3 linked regions of the Drosophila melanogaster genome follow. The protein of the gene in region 1 purifies or fractionates together with the protein of each later gene. This does not show direct contact. Each region holds a gene or a part of one and is shown on either strand. Other genes may lie near its edges.

The links.
Region 2: the proteins of Ubi-p5E (region 1) and rngo purify together in Drosophila melanogaster (affinity purification with western blotting, with the first as the bait; one study listed by BioGRID). This does not show direct contact.
Region 3: the proteins of Ubi-p5E (region 1) and Graf purify together in Drosophila melanogaster (affinity purification with western blotting, with the first as the bait; one study listed by BioGRID). This does not show direct contact.

What each region holds. Positions count from the first base shown.
Region 1 is NC_004354.4:6,275,679-6,283,070, reverse strand, and holds Ubi-p5E (Ubiquitin-5E), read left to right. Parts: upstream 1-3,423; 5' UTR 3,424-3,935; intron 3,936-4,317; 5' UTR 4,318-4,322; coding exon 4,323-5,927; 3' UTR 5,928-6,195; downstream 6,196-7,392. Other genes in the region: CG11700 (uncharacterized protein), read left to right, coding at 1-793; CG3566 (uncharacterized protein), read left to right, coding at 6,432-6,539, 6,613-6,701, 6,775-6,843.
Region 2 is NC_004354.4:16,438,536-16,446,636, reverse strand, and holds rngo (rings lost), read right to left. Parts: upstream 5,085-8,101; 5' UTR 4,855-5,084; coding exon 4,617-4,854; intron 3,145-4,616; coding exon 2,661-3,144; intron 2,597-2,660; coding exon 2,311-2,596; intron 2,248-2,310; coding exon 1,879-2,247; 3' UTR 1,270-1,878; downstream 1-1,269. Other genes in the region: eIF2alpha (eukaryotic translation initiation factor 2 subunit alpha), read left to right, coding at 1-452, 752-1,082; Cdc50 (cell division cycle 50), read left to right, coding at 5,435-5,495, 5,712-5,980, 6,225-6,420, 6,475-6,810, 6,875-7,040, 7,351-7,396.
Region 3 is NC_004354.4:15,756,003-15,762,910, forward strand, and holds the start of Graf (GTPase regulator associated with FAK), read right to left. Parts: upstream 4,648-6,908; 5' UTR 4,238-4,647; intron 4,193-4,237; exon of another isoform or gene 4,123-4,192; intron 2,316-4,122; 5' UTR 2,032-2,315; coding exon 1,854-2,031; intron 1,766-1,853; coding exon of another isoform or gene 1,307-1,765; intron 1,224-1,306; coding exon of another isoform or gene 392-1,223; exon of another isoform or gene 316-391; intron 235-315; coding exon 77-234; intron 1-76. Other genes in the region: CG8260 (uncharacterized protein), read left to right, coding at 435-1,223, 1,307-1,765; mRpL3 (mitochondrial ribosomal protein L3), read left to right, coding at 5,332-5,369, 5,429-5,534, 5,596-6,119, 6,173-6,593. UniProt on the Drosophila melanogaster protein: GTPase-activating protein for Rho family proteins. Essential component of the CLIC (clathrin-independent carrier)/GEEC (GPI-anchored protein-enriched early endocytic compartment) endocytic pathway.

The sequences.
Region 1 (7,392 bases):
AGAGCATCAGCGTTTGATCTTCGGCGGAAAGCACCTGGAGAACGGACGCACTCTGTCCGACTACAACATCCAGAAGGAGTCGACCATTTACTTGGTCCTGCGTCTGCGGGGTGGCATGCAAATCTTCGTGAAGACCCTCACTGGCAAGACCATCACCTTGGAGGTCGAGCCATCCGATACCATCGAAAACGTCAAAGCCAAGATACAGGACAAGGAGGAAAACCCCCCAGAGCATCAGCGTTTGATCTTCGGCGGAAAGCACCTGGAGAACGGACGCACTCTGTCCGACTACAACATCCAGAAGGAGTCGACCATTTACTTGGTCCTGCGTCTGCGTGGTGGCATGCAGATCTTTGTGAAGACCCTCACTGGCAAGACCATCACCTTGGAGGTCGAGCCATCCGATAGCATTGAAAACGTTAAGGCCAGGATCCACGACAAGGAGGGAATCCCCCCAGATCAACAGCGTTTGATCTTCGCCGGAAAGCAGTTGGAGGACGGACGCACTCTGTCCGATTACAACATCCAGAAGGAATCGACCCTTCACTTGGTCCTGCGTCTGCGTGGTGGCATGCAGATCTTTGTGAAGACCCTCACTGGCAAGACCATCACCTTGGAGGTTGAGCCATCCGATACCATCAAACACGTCAAAGCCAGGATCCACGACAAGGATGGAATCCCCCCAGATCATCAGCGTTTGATTTTCGCCGGAAAGCAGCTGGAGGACGGACGTACTCTGTCCGACTACAACATCCAGAAGGAGTCGACCCTTCACAGTCACTTTAAGTGGTAGAGAGCGAAAACAAATTAACCCACCGTGAGGGAGAGAGCAGGCGGCGAATTTCCAGTCAACTTATACCTATACCTATAAATACCAGCGCGCTGCTGTAAAACGAATCGTAAGCTGTGAAAAAGTCGTAGAGAGCGGACGTCCGAGCAAGTGAAGAAAGCAAGTTTTTGAATATTTCAAAAAGTGCAGACCAAATGTAAAGAAATAAATTAGCTTTTCTGTGCGAAACAGGAAAAAAATTCCGGTTAGTTTGGCAAGTGTTTCATAGTTTTTTTTAGTTGCTTTTAAAATGCCGAAGCAACAAGTGCAGTAAGCGAAAAAGGGTGCATTCCATGCATCTGTGTGTTTTTTTTATATACGGCAGGAAAATGAAATTCAAAGATACCGTCCACCGTCCGTAGATGGCATGCACGATTCATAACTCTCAGCTAGAGAATTATGCCTACGTACTAAACAAAAATCTCTGATCTCTCTCCTGTCCTTGTCAAGCTCACCGGCACTGCCAGTCAAAGTATTTTATCGGTGAGCAGGTCATGGTCAGATCCGACGAGCGATGCGGAGATCGTGATGGGGACTTTGTTCCCGCCCTTGAGGAGGCACGCTAATGAAGTCCATCGTCTTCTGGCTTGTGGCAGTCATAGAAGCTGTAGGGGCCAAAGTCTCCACATCTACAGCTGCACTGCAGTCGCTAGTTTTCGGCTGCTTGCTCACCCCTCGCTCCGTGAATTGGAGTTCGGACTCCTCTTGTAGGGGATCTCGATAGGCTGTAGCTCCTCCTGAACGGGTCGTTGGGATCGGGCACTGCCTCCCCTGTTCTGTCCATCTGATCTAATGGGCGGACTACGGCTTGTTGGTCACCAACGTTAGAAAGGGATCCATTGTGGGCCACGGATTTCTCCCTGGCGTTTTACCGGTGGAGGTTTATGCCGCCTCTAATCGGACACCAGAGCCTTTGCTTAGGCATCAGAACGGCGAGAGGATGATTAGTTGTCTGTCCGCGACCTTTAAGCCTTTTCCCTTTCTAAGAGGTTGTTCCGCTCCGAAAGAATCAAAACATGTTTAAATTCTTAATTCAAATTTTAATTTTAATTCAAATTAATTAATCCAAATTCGAATTTGAGCATGAACACACTTGTCGTGTGTGTGTGTGTGTGTGTGTATGCCCAGTTCCAGGGGATTTTATTATTATTTTTTTTTGACTAAGTTAGAGATTAGTCACCAAACCTAAATTTACTGTAAATTAACGAAAAAACCAATAATGTTTGTTTTCTGTATGTGTATGCTAAAATACTCTTCTGGGTCGCGGGAATTGGGTCACTACGCAGAAAATCAATTTCCTTCCACTTTCCATTACTCAGCCAACTTTTTTCCTTTTCCATTTCTCCACTCGCAGCCAATATGCAAATTTTCTTTAAGACTCTGACCGGCAAGACCATCACTTTGGAGGTTGGACCATCCGATACCATTGGGAACGTCAAGGCCAAGATCCTAGACAAGGAGGGAATCCCCCCAGATCACCACGTTCACCATGCGAACGGAGGTGGAGCGCATGCTGACGTTGATTGCCCAGGGATCGGCTAACTTTCAGGATGTTTTGCGACACGCCATCAAGATCTTCAAGCTGAAGTTTATGTACTTTGTGAAGAACATCGACAGCATGGACGCACTGTTTCAGGTATCCTTCTCGCCGCTGGCCGAGTCGGGCATTGCACTGCTCTACCGGCAAGATTGCACTGCTCTCATTGCGATGAGACATACGCCCTGCCCATTGGAATGTGAAGGTGTATCGCGAGTTCAAGTGCCCGCTGGATGATCTGCTGGCTTTCTCCACTGGCGTGAAGGGGCGTTCGTATCCGTTCTGCCCGTACTGTTACAACCATCCGCCGTTCAGCGACATGCCCCACTTGGGGGGCTGCAACACCTGCACGAACGCCAACTGCCCGCACTCGCTGAACACGCTGGGCATCTCCAGCTGCGTGGAATTCCATAATTGTAAAACATTTCTTATATTTGGATCCATAAATACATTAATTTATTTCTTAATATAAAGCAAACTTAATGAAATCTCGTGTAACTTGGAACTATTTTATAGTAAGAAGCTACCAATTCCAAAAAAAACTTCACTTTTTTGGAAGGAAAAACTTTATTTTGTTTTTTTTTTTTTGTCATATCATGGGGAATACATGTACACTGGATTGTTAGTATGAGAAATTCATGACAATTATTTGAATAATTGTATATATTATCCTATATCTTTAGTTTGTACTTAAAGAGTTAATAACGTTTACTATTTTAAGGGGTTACATCAAGGGTTAAGCTGCTGAAATCAGCATACATCAGATTTCATCAGACCCTTCCATTCCTGGAACTTTCCAGATGCAATTGTAATGCATATGTACATATGGAAATAGCATTGTACGCATACTGGCTTATGTGCGAGTGGGTTGGTGGGAAATTTTAAATTGTTGGGCTCTCTTGTCTAAAGGCTGATGACCAAAGCGAAGACAAATCTCCCAGGCGGCGTCAAAACAAAAAAAGGTCGATTAACTCGCCAAACAAAGAACGTCACAAGAAGATGTCTGTGCGTCTACATGCATACATATGTATGTATATACAAATTTATACACCTCCCTCTGTTAGAATACACACACAAACGCATACACTTCAACAGCTGAGATTAGTGTTGGAAAGAGGGTCAGGCAACTTATCGATAACTCCGCTCTCTCGCTCACGAGAGCGAGCGAGATAAAAGCAGTGCACATATGCACTACGCATTTTGTTTTCAATGCCCAATTTTGCGTATTGCAGCTAGCCAATTGATTGGCCTTCATGTGTTAAATACTCTTGTCAATGCGAAATCTCATTTCCAATAGACTAGACAAAAGAAACGGTCACTTTAAGTGGCAGAGAGCGAAAACAAAGTAACCTACCGCCCGAGAGTGAGCGAGAGAGCAGGCGACGACTTTCCAGTCAGCTGCCTATAAATACCAGCGTGGGGCTGCGAAACGAATCATAAACTGTGAAAAAGTCGTAGAGAGCGGACGTCCGAGCAAGTAAAATAAAAGCAAGTTTTTGAATATTTCAAAAAGTGCAGACCAACAGTAAAGAAATAAATTAACTTTTGTGTGCGAAACAAGAAAATAAGGTGAGTTCAGTTTGGCAATTGCTTAATAGTTTTTCTTAGTTGCATTCAAAATGGCGATGCAGCAAGCAGAAAACGGTGCTTTCCATGCTTCTATCTATGTGTGTGTGTGTGTGTGTGTGTGTGTGTGTGTGTGTGTATGCCCAGTTCCAGGGGATTTTTTTTAACGAAGTTAGAGATTAGTCACCAAAACTAAATTTGCCATTTCATGGCGAAATAATGCAAGCTGTGAAAACATTAACGAAAAAACCAATAATGTTTTCTGTATGTGTATGCTAAAATACTTTTCTGGGTCACGGGAATTGGGTCACTACGCAGAAAATCAATTTCCTTCCACTTTCCATTACTCAAGCCAACTTTTTCCCTTTTTCATTTCTCCACTCAGGCAATATGCAAATTTTCGTTAAGACCCTCACTGGCAAGACCATCACTTTGGAGGTTGAGCCATCCGATACCATTGAGAACGTTAAGGCCAAGATCCAGGACAAGGAGGGAATCCCCCCAGATCAGCAGCGTTTGATCTTCGCCGGAAAGCAGCTGGAGGACGGACGCACTCTGTCCGACTACAACATCCAGAAGGAGTCGACCCTTCACTTGGTCCTGCGTCTGCGTGGTGGCATGCAGATCTTTGTGAAGACCCTCACTGGCAAGACCATCACTTTGGAGGTCGAGCCATCCGATACCATTGAGAACGTTAAGGCAAAGATCCAGGACAAGGAGGGAATCCCCCCAGATCAGCAGCGTTTGATCTTCGCCGGAAAGCAGCTGGAGGACGGACGCACTCTGTCCGACTACAACATCCAGAAGGAGTCGACCCTTCACTTGGTCCTGCGTCTGCGTGGTGGCATGCAGATCTTTGTTAAGACCCTCACTGGCAAGACCATCACCTTGGAGGTCGAGCCATCCGATACCATTGAGAACGTTAAGGCCAAGATCCAGGACAAGGAGGGAATCCCCCCAGATCAGCAGCGTTTGATTTTCGCCGGAAAGCAGCTGGAGGACGGACGCACTCTGTCCGACTACAACATCCAGAAGGAGTCGACCCTTCACTTGGTCTTGCGTCTGCGTGGTGGCATGCAGATCTTCGTTAAGACCCTCACTGGCAAGACCATCACCTTGGAGGTCGAGCCATCCGATACCATTGAGAACGTTAAGGCCAAGATCCAGGACAAGGAGGGAATCCCCCCAGATCAGCAGCGTTTGATTTTCGCCGGAAAGCAGCTGGAGGACGGACGCACTTTGTCCGACTACAACATCCAGAAGGAGTCGACCCTTCACTTGGTCTTGCGTCTGCGTGGTGGCATGCAGATCTTCGTTAAGACCCTCACTGGCAAGACCATCACCTTGGAGGTCGAGCCATCCGATACCATTGAGAACGTTAAGGCCAAGATCCAGGACAAGGAGGGAATCCCCCCAGATCAGCAGCGTTTGATTTTCGCCGGAAAGCAGCTGGAGGACGGACGTACTCTGTCCGACTACAACATCCAGAAGGAGTCGACTCTTCACTTGGTCCTGCGTCTGCGTGGTGGCATGCAGATCTTCGTTAAGACCCTCACTGGCAAGACCATCACTTTGGAGGTCGAGCCATCCGATACCATTGAGAACGTTAAGGCCAAGATCCAGGACAAGGAGGGAATCCCCCCAGATCAGCAGCGTTTGATTTTCGCCGGAAAGCAGCTGGAGGACGGACGCACTCTGTCCGACTACAACATCCAGAAGGAGTCGACCCTTCACTTGGTCTTGCGTCTGCGTGGTGGCATGCAGATCTTCGTTAAGACCCTCACTGGCAAGACCATCACCTTGGAGGTCGAGCCATCCGATACCATTGAGAACGTTAAGGCCAAGATCCAGGACAAGGAGGGAATCCCCCCAGATCAGCAGCGTTTGATTTTCGCCGGAAAGCAGCTCGAGGACGGACGCACTCTGTCCGACTACAACATCCAGAAGGAGTCGACCCTTCACTTGGTCCTGCGTCTGCGTGGTGGCGCCATCTAGATTTTTTCACCCTTATAAAAATTGAAGTTAGTTAGTTGTGCCACAGGGCATAACTCAAGAATTCATACTAAGTTTTAGTAAATTGGTTTATTCAAAGGCACAAAATAATCAATCACAATAATTATTGGTATTCGAAGAATAAAATTTTCAATTTGTGTGTTCAATGTAATACTCTATGTAGTTTTTATCTGTGTTTCCCAGGGTTTTTAATTTTGTGGGGGATTCTTGATAGAAAGTTGCAATAAACATTGGATGGCGTTGGAGTGGTGGATTTAATTTGAATATTTAAATTTGTAATACTCTATTGTATTTTACTGGAATTGTACCACAGGTACATTGGAATTATTGCTTAGGTACCTTATGTGGTATATTTGGGGTATTTTGTGTGACCAGCTGACTCCAACGAAAAGTGGAGCCGGCCACACTGGAATAGTCCGAAAACCTGTTAGCTTGCGTTATTTAGTTAAATTTGCGGAGAAGAGCAGGCAGGCGCAGTCAGGCAAGATGAGCAAGGAAATCCGTTTGGCCACCGTCAACGAACACAACAAAGCCACGGATCTGTGGGTGGTCATCGACAACAAGGTCTACGATGTGACCAAGTTCCGTCTCGAGGCAAGTGGCGATGCAGATTGTTGGTTTTAGGGGGGGGTGGCGAATCCATCTAATTCGATGCCCTTATCTCCAGCATCCCGGTGGCGAGGAATCCCTGGTGGATGAGGCCGGTCGCGATGCCACCAAGGCCTTCAATGACGTGGGTCACAGCTCGGAGGCGAGGTTAGAGAGTCCATCTTATAGCCAGTGCGCCTGGATCACCTGATTCACATTTCTTCCCCACTTGCCTTTTCAGAGAGATGTTGAAGAAATACTACATTGGTGACCTGGCTGCTGCGGACATCAAGAAGAAAAGCCCAATTAGGTGAGAATCCTGTCCAGCAAGTGCATGCAAAGACCCAACCAAGCCAAAATGCCATATCATCATGTAAATAAAGAAAGCCCTGCGGATTTCCCTTCTCCGCTCCCACACGGATTGATCTCCTTATCTCGCTAGAACACCAGTATTCCTGATAAGGCATTTCATCATCATCATTTCGTACGCTCCACTTTCCTTAATGCATGAAGCTCCTATTCCGACCACAACCGGTTTCGCATGAGCATGGCCTGCGTTTCAATCAATAAGTACAATTAGCCAACTCTTATGTAATCCATTAATTGCCTCGAAGCCCCCAAAGTTTCACGCTTCACGTGTCCTGAAAGTCTCTATTTCGTACACTTTTTGGTGTACTACTTTGATACCCTTTGATACGATTGGATACCCTGAAGAAGATAATGATGATACAGAAGTGTTCCTTAAATTATATCAATTATTTATATTCCCATATAGAGTATCAACTTTTTCTTTACCAACCGCTAACAAAGCCACAATACTTAATATTTAATGAATCTAATGAATCTCAACTTGCATGTA
Region 2 (8,101 bases), about 10 Mb from region 1:
ATCGATCTGTCGAAGCGTCGCGTTTCGCCCGAAGATGTCGAGAAGTGCACCGAGCGCTTCGCTAAGGCCAAGGCCATCAACTCACTGCTCCGCCATGTCGCCGACATACTCGGCTTCGAGGGCAACGAGAAGCTGGAAGATCTCTACCAGAAGACCGCCTGGCACTTCGAGAAGAAGTACAACAACAAGACGGTCGCCTACGACATCTTCAAGCAATCGGTCACCGATCCCACCGTCTTCGATGAGTGCAACCTGGAACCGGAGACCAAGGAGGTCCTGTTGAGCAACATCAAGCGGAAGCTGGTCTCGCCCACTGTCAAGATCCGTGCGGACATCGAGTGCTCCTGCTACGGTTACGAGGGCATCGACGCTGTCAAGGCATCGCTCACCAAGGGCCTGGAGCTGAGCACCGAGGAGCTGCCCATTCGCATCAACCTGATAGCACCGCCACTGTAAGTACCTGTAAACTATTGTAATTTCCCTTGGTGTAGACGAAATTAACGAGGGTTTCTTTAATTAAAAGAATACGAAAATTGTAGATTTCTGTTCTTCATTTTAGCCGAAATTTATCGTTAAATAATAAGGAAATCCCTTTCATCTTGTATATATTGTAAATGACCACTTGGTTAAGAGAAAAACTTATATTCAATTTAATTTTACAACTTCTTGTGAAATCGAAATAACTAAAAATGTTGCTTAAATGAGTTAATTGGTTCCTAAACGTAATCGCTCTTCATCCGTATCCTTTTAGCTATGTAATGACCACATCCACTACCAAGAAGACAGACGGTTTAAAGGCTCTGGAGGTGGCCATTGAGCACATTCGCGCCAAGACCAGCGAGTACGATGGAGAGTTCAAGGTGATCATGGCACCCAAACTGGTTACGGCCATCGACGAGGCGGATCTGGCCAGACGCCTGGAGCGCGCTGAGGCCGAGAACGCCCAGGTGGCTGGCGACGATGACGAGGAGGATGGCGCCGACCAGGAGGGCATGCAGTTCGATCCAGAGAAGGAGTTCAACCACAAGGGATCGGGGGCGGGTCGTGCGAACGAGGAGGATGAGGAGGAGGAAGAGGATTAGCGTAGCCACAGCATCAGACACAACTATAGCAACTGTAACAAACAATTAAAGGAGTTTTGCAAAAATCAGAAGTTGTAATTTTATAATTTATATACATAACATATAACGAATGCTATTAAAGATTTATAAAAGTGAAAACAGCGAGATGCCCAAGAAGACAAATCAAAATGCGCTTGCTCATCTTTTTCTTTTCAAATCCAAAACAATACTATCGACCATTTATTATTGAACCCAATTCAGTTTTTCTTGACAGACCCTTAATACTAATTCAAATTGTGTATAAGTGTAATATTATTTAATAGTCAGGCATTCTTTCGTTTTTCTTTTGTATTTACTTGTTTCATGTTTTCGTTGATGCGGCTTGTTTCCATCACCGTCCAGATTTTCATTCATTAAATTTTAGATTATATCGCTTACTATTCTCTCTAGAAAAAACCAACCCACCTCTGCTTTAAAAATGACCCGGTAGTGCTGCGTAGCACCCTAATTAGATATTGTACATCGTAACAAACGATTCGTATAAAAAAAGTGACATCAGTTTATAAACATTTCACTAAATTAGAAAGGTTTTCGTTTCGGTATTCATTGCTTTGTGGTTGTGTATAGTCCTTACTATTTCCTATTTGACTTTATATGTGGCGTGGCGTGGCTTATTATTTGGTATTGCTCGGAGTATTTCGTTGGAACGGCTTCCAGTTAATGGGGTCCAGTCTGTTCATCATCCTATTGCAATCCGGTTTCTGGCTATGGGGAGTTCGGCTTTAGGTGGTGGTGTGGGCTGTGCGTCTAGCCGCGTTCAGCTGAGTTCGCTCCCCGAGGCGGCATCGTTGCGGTGGAGCAGCACGGACCTGGCCGCCTGCTTGTTACCGCCGCACAGGCGCAGCACGGTAAGCACATCGCTGCGAGGATAGCCAAGGGCCATGAGATCGGTGACATCCTGTTCGGTGAATCGTTCTTGAGGACTGATCGTGTTGGGCCCGCCACCGGCGCCACCGCTCTCCCGTTTGCTTTGCTCGATTGCATTGGAAATCGCCTCCTGTTCCATCGAATCCTCCGAGTTTCCTGTCAGCCGGGCGCTGACCGGCAGCTCACTTTCCGGCAGAAAGGGTGTCGTTGTTCCCGTGGTGCCAATAATCAACAAATTACGCTGCAAGTCAATCAGGCACTGGAAAAACCAATTCAATTAGCATTTAGGCGACGTAATCTGATGCTATCTAGATTTCATTACCTGATGTCGCTTCAGCATGTCCAGACCCAGCAACATGTCCATGGGTTGCTGGCCCAGCACGGTGAAACTGGACGTTAGGTGATCGTTCTCAATCTGCAACTGGACCATGTGTATCCTGCCCAGAATGGGCTGTGTGCCAACGCCCTTGGCCACACCATTCCAGCGTGTGTCAATCAGACGGTTGACATGGCATCTCTCGGCGCAGTCTTTGCTCATGATCGTCGTCTGGGCGCCAGAGTCCACAAAGGCCTTCACAGGAATGCCATTCACTTTGCAGTTGATATAGCTAATAATATGCAATATTGCAATGAGCCAATCCAATCATATTAATTATTTTTACCATTACTTACAGCATTGTAACCGTGCCAAAGATCTCTGGATTGTATTCAATGGCAGCCGCCATGTTATCCTGGATATTCTTCTGCTTGATCTCTTCGGCAATCAGACGTTGAGTCTCCTCATCGAAGGGATCGGCGTTTAGCATGCGCATGCGGTGCTCGTTACGACGCTTTCGCTCCGTAATATGCTCGCGAAGCAGCCGAGCGAACTTTTCCTTGTCGCCGGAATCGATGGCTTCCGCCAGGCTGGGATTGTACTGCCGGAGGAGCGACAGAGTCTCGGGACTGGACAGAAACATCTGTCGCACCGTCTCTGGGTCGTCGTCGAAGTTCACATTGAACTCATCGGTCGTGGGTATGTCCGTGAGGTTGTTGAACTGCGGCTGCTGCACTCCCTGCTGCTGCACCCGCCTTGACGGTGGACTGCCGCCTGAACTAGTGCCCGGCACGGCGATGTTGCTGAAGTCGAGCGTGCTGATCGCTGGATTTCCGCCAACTGAAATTTTTGAATGAGACGAAAGATTAATCGATTGAGGTAGTTTTCTATTGCGTTTCTTTACAGGATTACATTTGTCAATATTCGAATCGATTACATTGAATATAGTTTAAAAGACAATTTGTGGTCAGTGCAGTTATCTGCTACAAATCGAGAAAATTATCAACATATTTACGCGTAAAATGGAACAAATTTTGAGAAAGAAAGAGCAAGCAATACCTAAAAACCTCAACAAATTTTGCCCAAATATAATCTGGCTTGCAGATTGTGAAATAAATGATTGCGTATAACTCATGCTAATTACCATACAACAAACATTTATATACATATGTGCATATGTATAAACGTTTGTCGAGATAGATTAAATCACCGTCATCCAATTTGAATGGAACTTAATTAATCTGTGATCTATAATCGAATTAAAAACATCAGACTAGCGAGATAAACCAATGCAAGTGCAGTTGTGTTAACTAGATAATATGTACATATCTGTAGATAAGTGATATGTAGTTGAACTCATTTTCTGGCTGCCAAATGAGCTTGCTCGCGTGCGAGTCATGGAGTCCAAAGTGCTGTGCAATGGTCAAATGAAATCGAAAATTGTTCACCGCCCACACCTGTCTGCAGTCGCCAAAATGTGTGCACATGTGTGCAGAAATACCATTCATACATATGTACATATGTATATAGCAAAACAATTATATATACACGATCCCATTTCAATGGACAAGCTGACAAGGCCAAATGCGCATTCAGGGGTCAACAAAACAGTGGTCCGGCCACAGTGGGCGGCCCAAGTGGGTGGATCCATGGGGCTGAGACTGAGGCAAAGGCAACGCACCTGCTGCTGCTCCTCCACTTTCATTGGTATGCCCATTCCTCACCGAACCCGAACCCCCCTCTCTGCTGCAGTGGAAACAGCACACACTTCCAGTGTTCTTTCCCGTGTCTGTGTGCCGCTGTTTTTTTGGAATTTGCGAAAAGAAAGTCAGACGAAGCAAGGCGTTTATTTTTAACACCAATTGCGCCGCAAAAAGATGAGCTGTGCTCGCTGCGCTTTTCCATAAAAATCTAGCAACTAATAACGCCAACAAATTAAAAAAAAAATGAGCACAGTTCAAATTTCACATTGCAAAAGTATTGTTAAATGAAATGTTCGCACTACGTATTCGGGGTTTCCCGGTTTTTCCTAAATATTATGTTGCTGAAGTATTTTTTAAGCGACATTTGAATATAAACGTGTTATGGATCATGTAGGACAATAATTAATTTTATTATTGTGCGAATTCGCGTTATCTGACCAATGAACCCCCTTCACCATCCTCCAAAACACACTCAAGATCCCCCCCCCTCCACGGGGAAAAACGTGACCCACATAAGGATAATGGCTCCCCCTCTCTTCACCCCGCTCTTTCCACTTTCCCATCTCGTTTCCATTCCAACGCCGAATTTCAACTCTCTCTCTCTCTCACCTGGGCGATTGGCGCTCCTGCGTCGTTCCAGCATGATGAAGTCGCCGTCGCCGACTCCGCACTGTTGCAGCGTCTGTTTGTCGCTGGAAAGCTCCCGCCCGTTGAAAATTACCGCTATTTGGGACACTTCCGCACCGATCTCCATCGCGCAGAGGGCCTTGAGATTCTCCAGCTCAAGATCCTGGGCCACGTCCAAGCAGAAGACCTTGTCATCGCTGGTCGTCACTGTGATTTTCATTGCCGCTGCGTACTGTGTGTATGTGTGTTGGCGTTTCTGTGTTACCGTGGTTTAGGTGGATCGAATGTTAGCGAGCGCGGGTATGTACTGCACTGGTGGGTGGCAAAGTGAATCACAATCTCTGCTGGTCTAGCCTTTTCGCCTTTATCTTTGCTAGCTGGATGGGTGTGCTGATATTCTGCTGCTCGCTTATTGTTTTGACACAACAACGAAAACGCCGCCTCCACGCGGTTGCATGCGACGCCTTATCGATACTATTCGCGGTCTGACTATCGATAGTTGAATGGGATGGCTAGAGCATTGCTCATTTGGAGGTATTACGACGAATTTGGAGAGACAAATGATTTTCCTCTTACCTTAGTTTAACATATTTCTCAAAGGTAAGCCAAATGGAGCAAAAGCTAAATATAGATAAAATTTCATCGATATATACCATCACTGCAGGTATCGATACATATCGATGACTCATGTGCTGTCATCGAAATTTTATTGTATTTACTTTATTCAATTGGAGTCACTTGCAGCGTTTGGACACCAAGGAGCTTTTCGAGGAGCATAGCGAGAAACCAGATAAGCCACCATGTCCACACAGCAAGCGGAGAATGAGGAGAGTGCAGCGGCGAAGTCCAAGCGACCTTCAGGTGAAAACCCAGTTTCATGCGAGTCGCCCCATCCAAATCCCAATCCCCCAATAACACACTCACACACACTTGTCTGCGTAACAAGTGATAAGGAGGGGAATGACTAATATCCAATGGCAAATCGATTTTCGGGGCCCATCCTGGTGTCCCTGCATTAACCATGAGGTCATGCCAAGTCGCTCACGTTTGCCCGTTTCCCATGTTGTCCACCCACAGATTCGGCCTTCAAGCAACAGCGCCTGCCCGCCTGGCAGCCCGTCCTGACCGCCCGCACCGTACTGCCCACCTTCTTCGTTATCGGAGTTCTATTCATACCCATCGGCGTGGTCCTGCTCCACCTGAGCAACACCGCCAACGAGCTGATCATCGACTACACCAAGTGCAGGCGCTCGGGCGGAAATACCACCTGTGCGGAGTATCTGGAGGCCAACCCCGGCGTTACGTGCCCCTGCGAGGTGCCCTTCGTCCTGCCCTCGGACTTCAATGTGAGTTATAGGGATCCAGAGCTTCAGTAGCTGTCCAGCTCAATTAATCAGCTCTTAGTTTAGGTAGTGAAGTAGTTCAAATGAAAAGCTATATGCTGCTTTTATAATCTGCAAGGCATTTATCAACATTGCTTTTAGCAGGTTTGGAAAAGATATTGATGATATTGATAGTGGATTTGGATTCCTTATAATACTTTAGAAAGAGATTCTCATTTAAGTATTTCGTTAACTTCCTTTTTTAAAGGGTGTGGTATACATGTACTACGGACTGACCAACTACTATCAGAACCATCGGCGCTATGTGAAGTCACGGGACGACGAGCAGCTGCTGGGTCACCTGTCGCAAACGCCCAGTACAGACTGTGCCCCCTTCGCCTATGATCCCGATTCCGGAAAGCCCATCGCGCCCTGCGGTGCCATTGCCAACTCGCTGTTCAATGGTGCGGCACAGAAACTACCTTGACTGTACCGCAACTAACATTGATATCTTCCAGACACGCTGACCCTCTTGCAGGGTGGATCCGAGATCAAGCTGCTGAAGACGGGCATTGCCTGGCCGTCGGACAAGCGCGTCAAGTTCCGAAACCCAGAGGGTAACCTGAACGTCTCCCTTGAGGGCTTCTCAAAGCCAATTTTCTGGCAGAAGGGTCTGGCCGACCTGGACCCGGAGAATCCGGACAACAATGGCTTCCAGAACGAGGATCTGATCGTGTGGATGCGCACCGCCGCTCTGCCCAGCTTCCGGAAGCTATATCGCCGTCTCAACCAAACGAACACCAACTATGCCAACGGCCTGAAGTCTGGCAATTATACGCTTAACATTAAGTATAGTAAGTACGAATGGCTGGGATATCGCGAATGCTGTATCTAATGTATTTGTGTTTTGCCCTTCAGATTATCCGGTGGTGTCGTTCGACGGCACGAAGCGAATGATACTCTCCACCACATCCGTGCTCGGTGGCAAGAACCCGTTCCTGGGCATTGCGTACATTGTGGTGGGTGCCATTTGCATCACCCTGGGCCTGGCCCTGCTATTTATTCATATGCGATGCAGTCGCAGGTGAGTTGATCATCGCACATCGTTGATTCATCCTCATTGTACCGATCGTCATTCATCCTGCCCTTATCCCCCACTCCCACAGCATTATAGTTCATTAAGTCTGCTAAGAGTCGAGTATTTCATTCCCCATTGAAGCCGAATCGTTTCTCATGGCCAAATTAGCGTTTTGCTCGGTGCGCGATAAGTATTGACAATTAAGTAGCGTTTGATAGTAGCGTTTTACCTAATCGGGCACTGGCCAAAATGATTGACACCTCCTATACTAAGGGCTCTTGAACTAATCATGGTTTTATTTCTGTTTACCCAACAGCAACATGGAGATGATCAACGTGAACCCGCACACGCAGTACTCCTAGACCGAGCACCGTCAGTATTCCGGGCCGCTTCACTTAGCTTTAGTAGATCCATTTCTTTAAGCCTTATCAGCATAAAATAGTTTCTATTAACCCATTTCCATTAACGTGTTCTCGACTGCTCTTCTATTTTTTATGTTTTCTAACTGTGTGCACTTGGCCACGCGATGAGCAGCTGTCCAAGTGCCTTTTGTTGATGTTCTGTTCGTCCTTGATCCTATATGTGTGCACCCAATTTGTGATTTTTTCTATAACCTATTCCACCGCACATCACACACAACAAACAGTGGATACCCTTTGCAACATCCACACGAATTTCCACCATTGCTTTAGAAACAGCAAAGTAATACTTTGTGCCTGACTTAATCTGCATTGCCTTTTACTACGTTTATACGCGCAAATAAACATTGTTAATGGCATAGCTCTCTTGTTTTATTGGCAAGTAAATGGGGCCAATTTGAAATTAAGCTATATTCCTTGCTAATATGGGATCGTAATTAATAAGTTTAGGATTCTGTTGAAGCTTTTCTAAATAGTCGTTAAGATGTCTGTTATTTTCATCACAAAAGAAAAGTACAATCGAATTCATGTATTTAACCAATGTTAAGCGAATAAAATTGGATGACATTATGAAGGAATTTGATTCGTAATCCATGTGGTTATCAGTGCTACTTAAGAATTTCCTGCTGGATTTTAGATAAGGCCTCC
Region 3 (6,908 bases), 9.5 Mb from region 1:
ATTGTTAATAGATTGTTCAGATTCTCACTAATTTGGAAACCAATATTATATGACCCGATCAGACAAGCCAACTTACCATTTTTTCGCGCTCATCTTCAATATTGCCAATTATAGCACCAAATCGCTTGAGACTTTCACAAATGACATTCTCATCGTCGGTCTGAGCAGTGCCAATGCACTCAAAGTTAAAATCGTTAAGTAAAATGGCCAATTGTTTCATTCGAGTGGACAGGACTGAAAAAGTATTTAAATGCAATTTGACAAACCATTGAAATAAATATGAAAGCAAAAGGGAAAACATCAAACATAACATAAATCTCATTAGAACTAGACGTCTTTGCCTCACTTCCCACCACATAAATACAGCACAGATATACGAAAAAAAAAAAACATGTATAAAACGAGGCCCTTTTTGGCGAGTAAAAGAAACCCTGATGCTGATGCTGATCCTGATCCTGATCCTGATCCTGATCCTGATCCTGTTCCTGACCCCGAACCTTTGCAACCTAAGTAAGCTAATAAATTCCCAATGTCCATATGTCCATTTCATCAATGTTAGGACACGCGAAAGGCTTTGCTACTTGGAACAGACATTTCTGAACTTTGCAAATAGTATACGAACACTGAAGGAAGATCCAACGGAGTCCGAGATTGTCGAAATAGACCACGAAGTGCCGCCAGAGGAATACCTGGTGCCTTACATCCAGAACTACGAGTGTGCGGATATAATAGTCACTGTTCACGATCGCGTCTTCCTTTGCCACAATATCATACTAAGTATTTACTCAAGGCGAATGCTGAAAATATTGCAGGAAGATGTTGACCATATTGTCTTTAAGTCGAATGATTTGAGCCCGAAAGGATTCAGCGACGCATATCTATGGATGATTTCCAGTGATGGCGAGGTTAATCCGTGCGATATGGGCGAAATTTTGAGGGCCGCATACTTCCTGGACATTCCCGAGCTGCTCGAGGCCTGTTGGGCGAACCTGGATAGGATAACATTCTTTGAGATCTCTGCGTTTCGCCTATTGTTCGAATTACGAGGCGCCACCAACTTGTGGGATGTATTCGATAAGCTGACTGGGCGCATTTCCATTTCAATTTTGCCAGTCGCATCGACTCGGGAATTCCTGTGCCTCAGCGAAACACAAATTTGCTACATACTCAAGTCCAACTTTCTGGCAATCAATTCGGAAATGGAGGCAAGTTCTATATCTATAGTATAGTAGAAGTATAACCATGATATATGAATACACAGCTTTTATATTCCGCCTTAATGTGGCTAGCGCATCTTTGGCCGCAGCGACGTTCGAGCACCTATAGGGTTTTAAGTCAAATTCGCTTCAGCTTCCTGCCGCCCCTCATGCTAAAGAAGTTCAGGAGTGAGGAACTCCATAAGATGCCCGAATTTAGTGACATTCTAAAGGAGTTTAGCAAGTCGCCCGATGTCATCACACTTCTGCGGGACTCGGTGTTTAACAGCAGTTTGCTCTTAACCGTGCGCAACAATCCGAGTGTACTCGATACGCATGTGGAGTTCACGGAGGTGGAGCTAATGGAGCCACGCCATTGGGTACAGGATCATACCTGTGACTACCATCGGAAGGTGACACAGCTGTGTCCAAATATGCGTTTCATAACGCTAAACGAATATCAAGAGTACCTAAAACGCCTGTCGATTGGACCCGAATTCAATACGTGTTTCAAGCATACCAGGGATCGGGAATCAGAAGGACAAGAAGATATGTGGAAGCATATGTGAATAGGCATTATTTATAAATCATTTTTTGTATACTTTAATAAACAGACACACGTTTTACGCCCTCCGGTAAATGGATTGTACTACTTACTCTTTGCCGCACTCATAAGATCTTTGACCTCTTTGATAATTCGTTTTATTTGATGACTAGTGTGGTCCAGTTCCTTTTCATGTCGATTTAAATTTTCGCGAAAGTCCGGACTGTCGACGATGCATTCTTCGAACTCCAGAGGCTCCAAGCCGCGGCGTACATTTTTGCCGCCGCCCATGATGTTTGCGTTTGCTTTTAATAATATTGAATTTGAATATTTGCTGTGATTTTCAGTTTAAGTTTCAGTTTTATTTAGGTTCTTTCGATGTTGCTTTCCACAGAGCTAAGTGCATTCGCAGTGACTGATATATTGTGATATATTGTGTAGATTTGTCGGTTGAGTTTCGAGAAAACTGCGGTGTTTGCAACATTTACAGCTGGAATTGCGCTCCTTTTATATATTTACTATTCAATGCAAATACTGTTTATCAGTTGGTGGATTATGCATATTGGTAATCCTTCCTGCAAAGACAACTGATATAAGATATCTTTTTAAACAACAAGTAGAGTTAATTGCGCAAAACTTGCATTGCGGCTGAGCGGCCAAGAATACGCTAAGTTACTTTGAGAAAATATTTTGTTCTAGCATGAAGAAACATGATTCACTCGATTCTTATCAACTCTGTATTAAAGAACTTGCATTCTCTCTTTTAGAGAACCCATTGCTTTGTGTGGTTTAAAAACGATATTTTGAGTACATCGCAATCACCGGAATATGAATTTATAGCCTAAATTGACCAATAATTAGCAAGTGAAGTCCATTATGTATTATATTTATTCGTTTTGATCGCGCAGAGCTCTGGCAATTGTGATTTTGATTTAAGGTCGGTTCCCCACATTCGATAAACTTTAAACTGTGAAATTCCGAAAATAAGAGCAGATCCGAAAAGCAAACTGATGAGATTATATAAAAAGATAAATTGAAACACAGTGCCACGATAAAAAGTGGGCAGTCAACGACTAACTTTCATCAAGAACGGACTATTGTTAATTTCTTATCGTCTGTGTACCGAGCAAGACCCACACTCTAGTAAATTTCTTATCTTTTGCAAACATATACATATGTACAAGCGTTTACCAAAAACAAGTTTAAATACACTTGCGAACACTTTCCTATTACAGTGAAACCAGCCACAGGCTGATAAGTCGTCGCCATTACATAAATGCAAAACCGACTTTGCAATTGAAAATCATGTTCAATAAAAATTGCGAAAGTCAGCCACTTGGAAAATACACTTTGAATGCCATTTATTTATGGGTGTATTTAAATCATAAAGTTGCTTACAGACGCCTGTTTACTACATTGTCATTGTTGTATATGTTTTTCTTATCAGATCTTAAGATAGATAGGCGCAGGCACGGAGAATTCTCAGAAATAATCGCCTAATCAATATATATTTTAAACAAATTTTAGTGGATTCCAGGCCCAAGTTATCAAGGAAACAATGACGCAGATAAATGTATATACACCCTAACTAAAACAATTCACAAAACATATCCCCTTTACGCAATAATAGTCTTTCCATTCAAATTCGCAAAGTACTTTTATCCGGCTCATAGGACCATTGATTACTGATAACCAGTTAATCACCTGTTTTCACTTTCTTTGACTACAACAACTTTAAAAATCCTTGATAACTTTATAAGCCTAAGAGATAGTTATATATATGAAAATGTTAGGCATTGAAATAATGCAATATATATGTATTTATTTAAAGCCGAGTTCAGATAGTGCAATTCAAGATCATGGGAAATTTTGTTGGCGAGTTTCCACTGATGGAATGCGCAACGAGTAAAAACACAGCTGTTGCTATGTATTTTCGCTAGATATACCTTAATACCTGTTGAATACGAACTTATGGTGGATTTTTGGGGCTTAAAAAACAGTTAAACATTCCGTTTTAAATTATCTTATCGGTTTTTTTTTACAGTTAAGCCCGCTTAAAATTGTTGCATGAAGCTAGGTATGTACAGGCATACTTGCATACTTGCATACATACAGATGTGCACCGCCTGTATTTGTATGTTGTGTACATTTGTTATTTAAAAATAACTTTAGTTTATGTTCGCTTACTGATAAATAACTCATATGCGCACTTTACAACACTATGTGCATAAGAATGTGTTGAAGGGAGGGGTGGGCGAGAGTTTTTATCGTTTCCTCTTTTTTTTTGCATAAACTTGTTAAATTTCGATGTACATATGTAAACATTCGATCTTAAAACAGGTTGCGAGGCCACTAACACCATAATTTCGATATCGGACATACCCCTGGGATGAAATTCAACTGCAGCACCAAATCCTTTGTTTATTTCGCATGCATGTAGTTGTTTAAAAAACTAAATAATATATATATATCAGCATACATATACGTAGATACACACCAGCACACATACATACGCAATGCAATGGAATCACAAATAAATAAATAAATCAAATCCTTATAAACGAATCGTCGAGGGGCTCATGTTTAGACGCTTTTCATATGACTTTAGCCCATTGGAATTCACTTATACAAAAATAAATGCTCTTAGTTACGAAAGGCAACCGTCGGTAGTTTTTCGCGTACCGCAACCGCACACACATTTGTGCCCGTGTTAAAATTACTCACAGAGTAAACATTAGTGTATGAGTAATTTCCCAATATCTAATGTTGCTCTGATCGAAGAACGCAAATTGGCCGTGTCGTGTCGCGCGTTTCGCATCAATTACGCGATATTATTCAGCATCAATTGCATATTTCGTTTCATTGTATTCTAAATGCACCACAATATATATATATTACTTTGACTGTTAAATCTCCGATTAGAAAAAAAAATTAATGTAGGTCTGATAAAAATACACAAGTTATCTGAACGTGCTGTTAAGTATATTAACTGTGCTGTTAAGCGCATCAAATACCCTGTCTCCACCGCGACACTAACATTTGCAGGAGTGTCCATAAGCTTTTGCCGTGCCATCTACTTCTCATGCGTTCCAACAACCACCTGTTACTTACTTGTTCGCATTTCAACGCATTACTCTCTCCCATTCTCTAACTTTAATTGACAGAAATGATTGGGAAACAAAATGAAAGCGCTAAAACTTCTTTGATAGATATCAAATGTTTATTAAGCGTCTAAAGTTTGCAGCATGCATAGCTTAGCACGAATTGTGAATCATCTATTTTGTCAATGAACAACATTGCGCGTCGTTACATAGAGAGGGGTGAATTCATTACCAAAATGTATTACAAATGTTACAAATTTATTAAAAACTACAATTTCTGATTTACATAGTTGCGATAATAATCACATCATGTTTCCACTACTCCAATTATAAGAGCATGTGGAATCGAAATTGACCAGAAATAATCGATGGTCAAGCAGCCGTGCCCCAAATATCGCTGATATCGATACTGTGGCCGATGTTTTGACAGCTCTTTTGGTTATTCTGCACCGGCTCGCTTTTATGCTTTGTTAAATTATATTATATAAGTATGATGCGGAGCGTTATTAATCAATTACTGGGTCTCCGGTGGGTACACTTATCGTTGCTATAGTGGCCATTTAGTAAATTCTGGTTTCTCCATTCAGGCTCAGTGGAAATAGCAGTGTTTTGGTTACGCAGGTGCGCGATAAGGGCCATTTGAGCAGACCTCGACTGCGGAATCCCCAATGGTTTCTGCGCAAGGAAATTACAGTATGTGACATATATCTTTTTATCTATAAACAAACTACTCATTTGCGTTTTATTGCAACAGAAATACAACGATTTGATGACGGCGGAGAACAAGCAGTTCGTCAACGAAGTGGGCACCAATAACTTTGGCGTTCCGGCAGTTATTAAGGATAGTTTGGTCAAGACCGCGGGCCCAACCGCCAATGAGGCTGTGTGGACTCCGAATTTGCGAAGATGCGGCGTTATAGCGCGCAAAATTGGCCAGTACCCGCTGTGGCTAAAGAATGGCGAGCGGATTCGCACCACGCTGCTGCAAATCGTCGACAATCATGTCATTAAATACATTCCCCCGGAAGAGTATTTACCTGCCCAAGTTCCCACGGTAGCCAACCTGCACAAGCGCGGCTGCATTCTCGTTGGCTCCGAGACCACGAACCCAGCTCTGTTGACCAAAGAGTACGCGGGCATATTCCGCAACTCGGGTGTGCTCCCCAAGAAGAACCTGGCCCGATTCATCGTCTCTCCAGAAGCCCAACTGGCGCCAGGCACTCCACTAAATGTCAACCACTTTCGCGTTGGTGACTTCGTCGATGTTCGCGGCAAAACGTAAGTACATACGTCTAAGCGCTGGTTATACGTACTCTACTTATATTTTGCAGAGTTGACCATGGCTTCCAAGGTGTTGTCAAGCGACACGGATTTAAGGGCATGCCAGCATCGCACGGTGTGACGAAAACTCATCGACGTGCCGGCAACATTGGCGGTGGTGGCGAGAAGGGTCGCGTCTGGCCAGGCACAAAGATGCCGGGACACATGGGAAACCGGTGGCGCATCATCAAGGGTCTGCGCGTGTGGCGCATTAACACCAAATATAATGTTATGTGGGTGCAAGGGAGCTCGGTGGCCGGCCCCACCGGCGGTCTGGTCTACATATACGATACCATCTTGCCAACGCGAAAGAATAAGGAAGCCCCACCGTTCCCAACGTTTTACGGCGAGCCGCAGCAAGATGGGGATGATGTGTGGTACGAACAGGTGCACAACTTCAAAAGCGAGTCAATAACGTATGAAAACGAATAACTTTAGTGCTTAAGGTATTATAGAAACCTAATTGTTTGTTTTGAAATAAAAGAAATAACTAATTTTATATATGCAGAGTAGTTTTAAAAGTTGGTTGTAACTTATTTAAGAGGTTTTATTCAAACCTAAATCGAATAAGACCTCAGATGGTTAGGTTTCTTATTTGTTTCATTATATTCATATAGGAATTTTAATGAGCTTCTTTTTAAGGGGAAGCTCATTTAAAATAAAACCTATTGGATTTTTGAATGCCCCTCTGTGCAGTTATTATTCTTATTGGCGTAAAGCGGCTCCAATCCGTTGTTCCGCCACGCA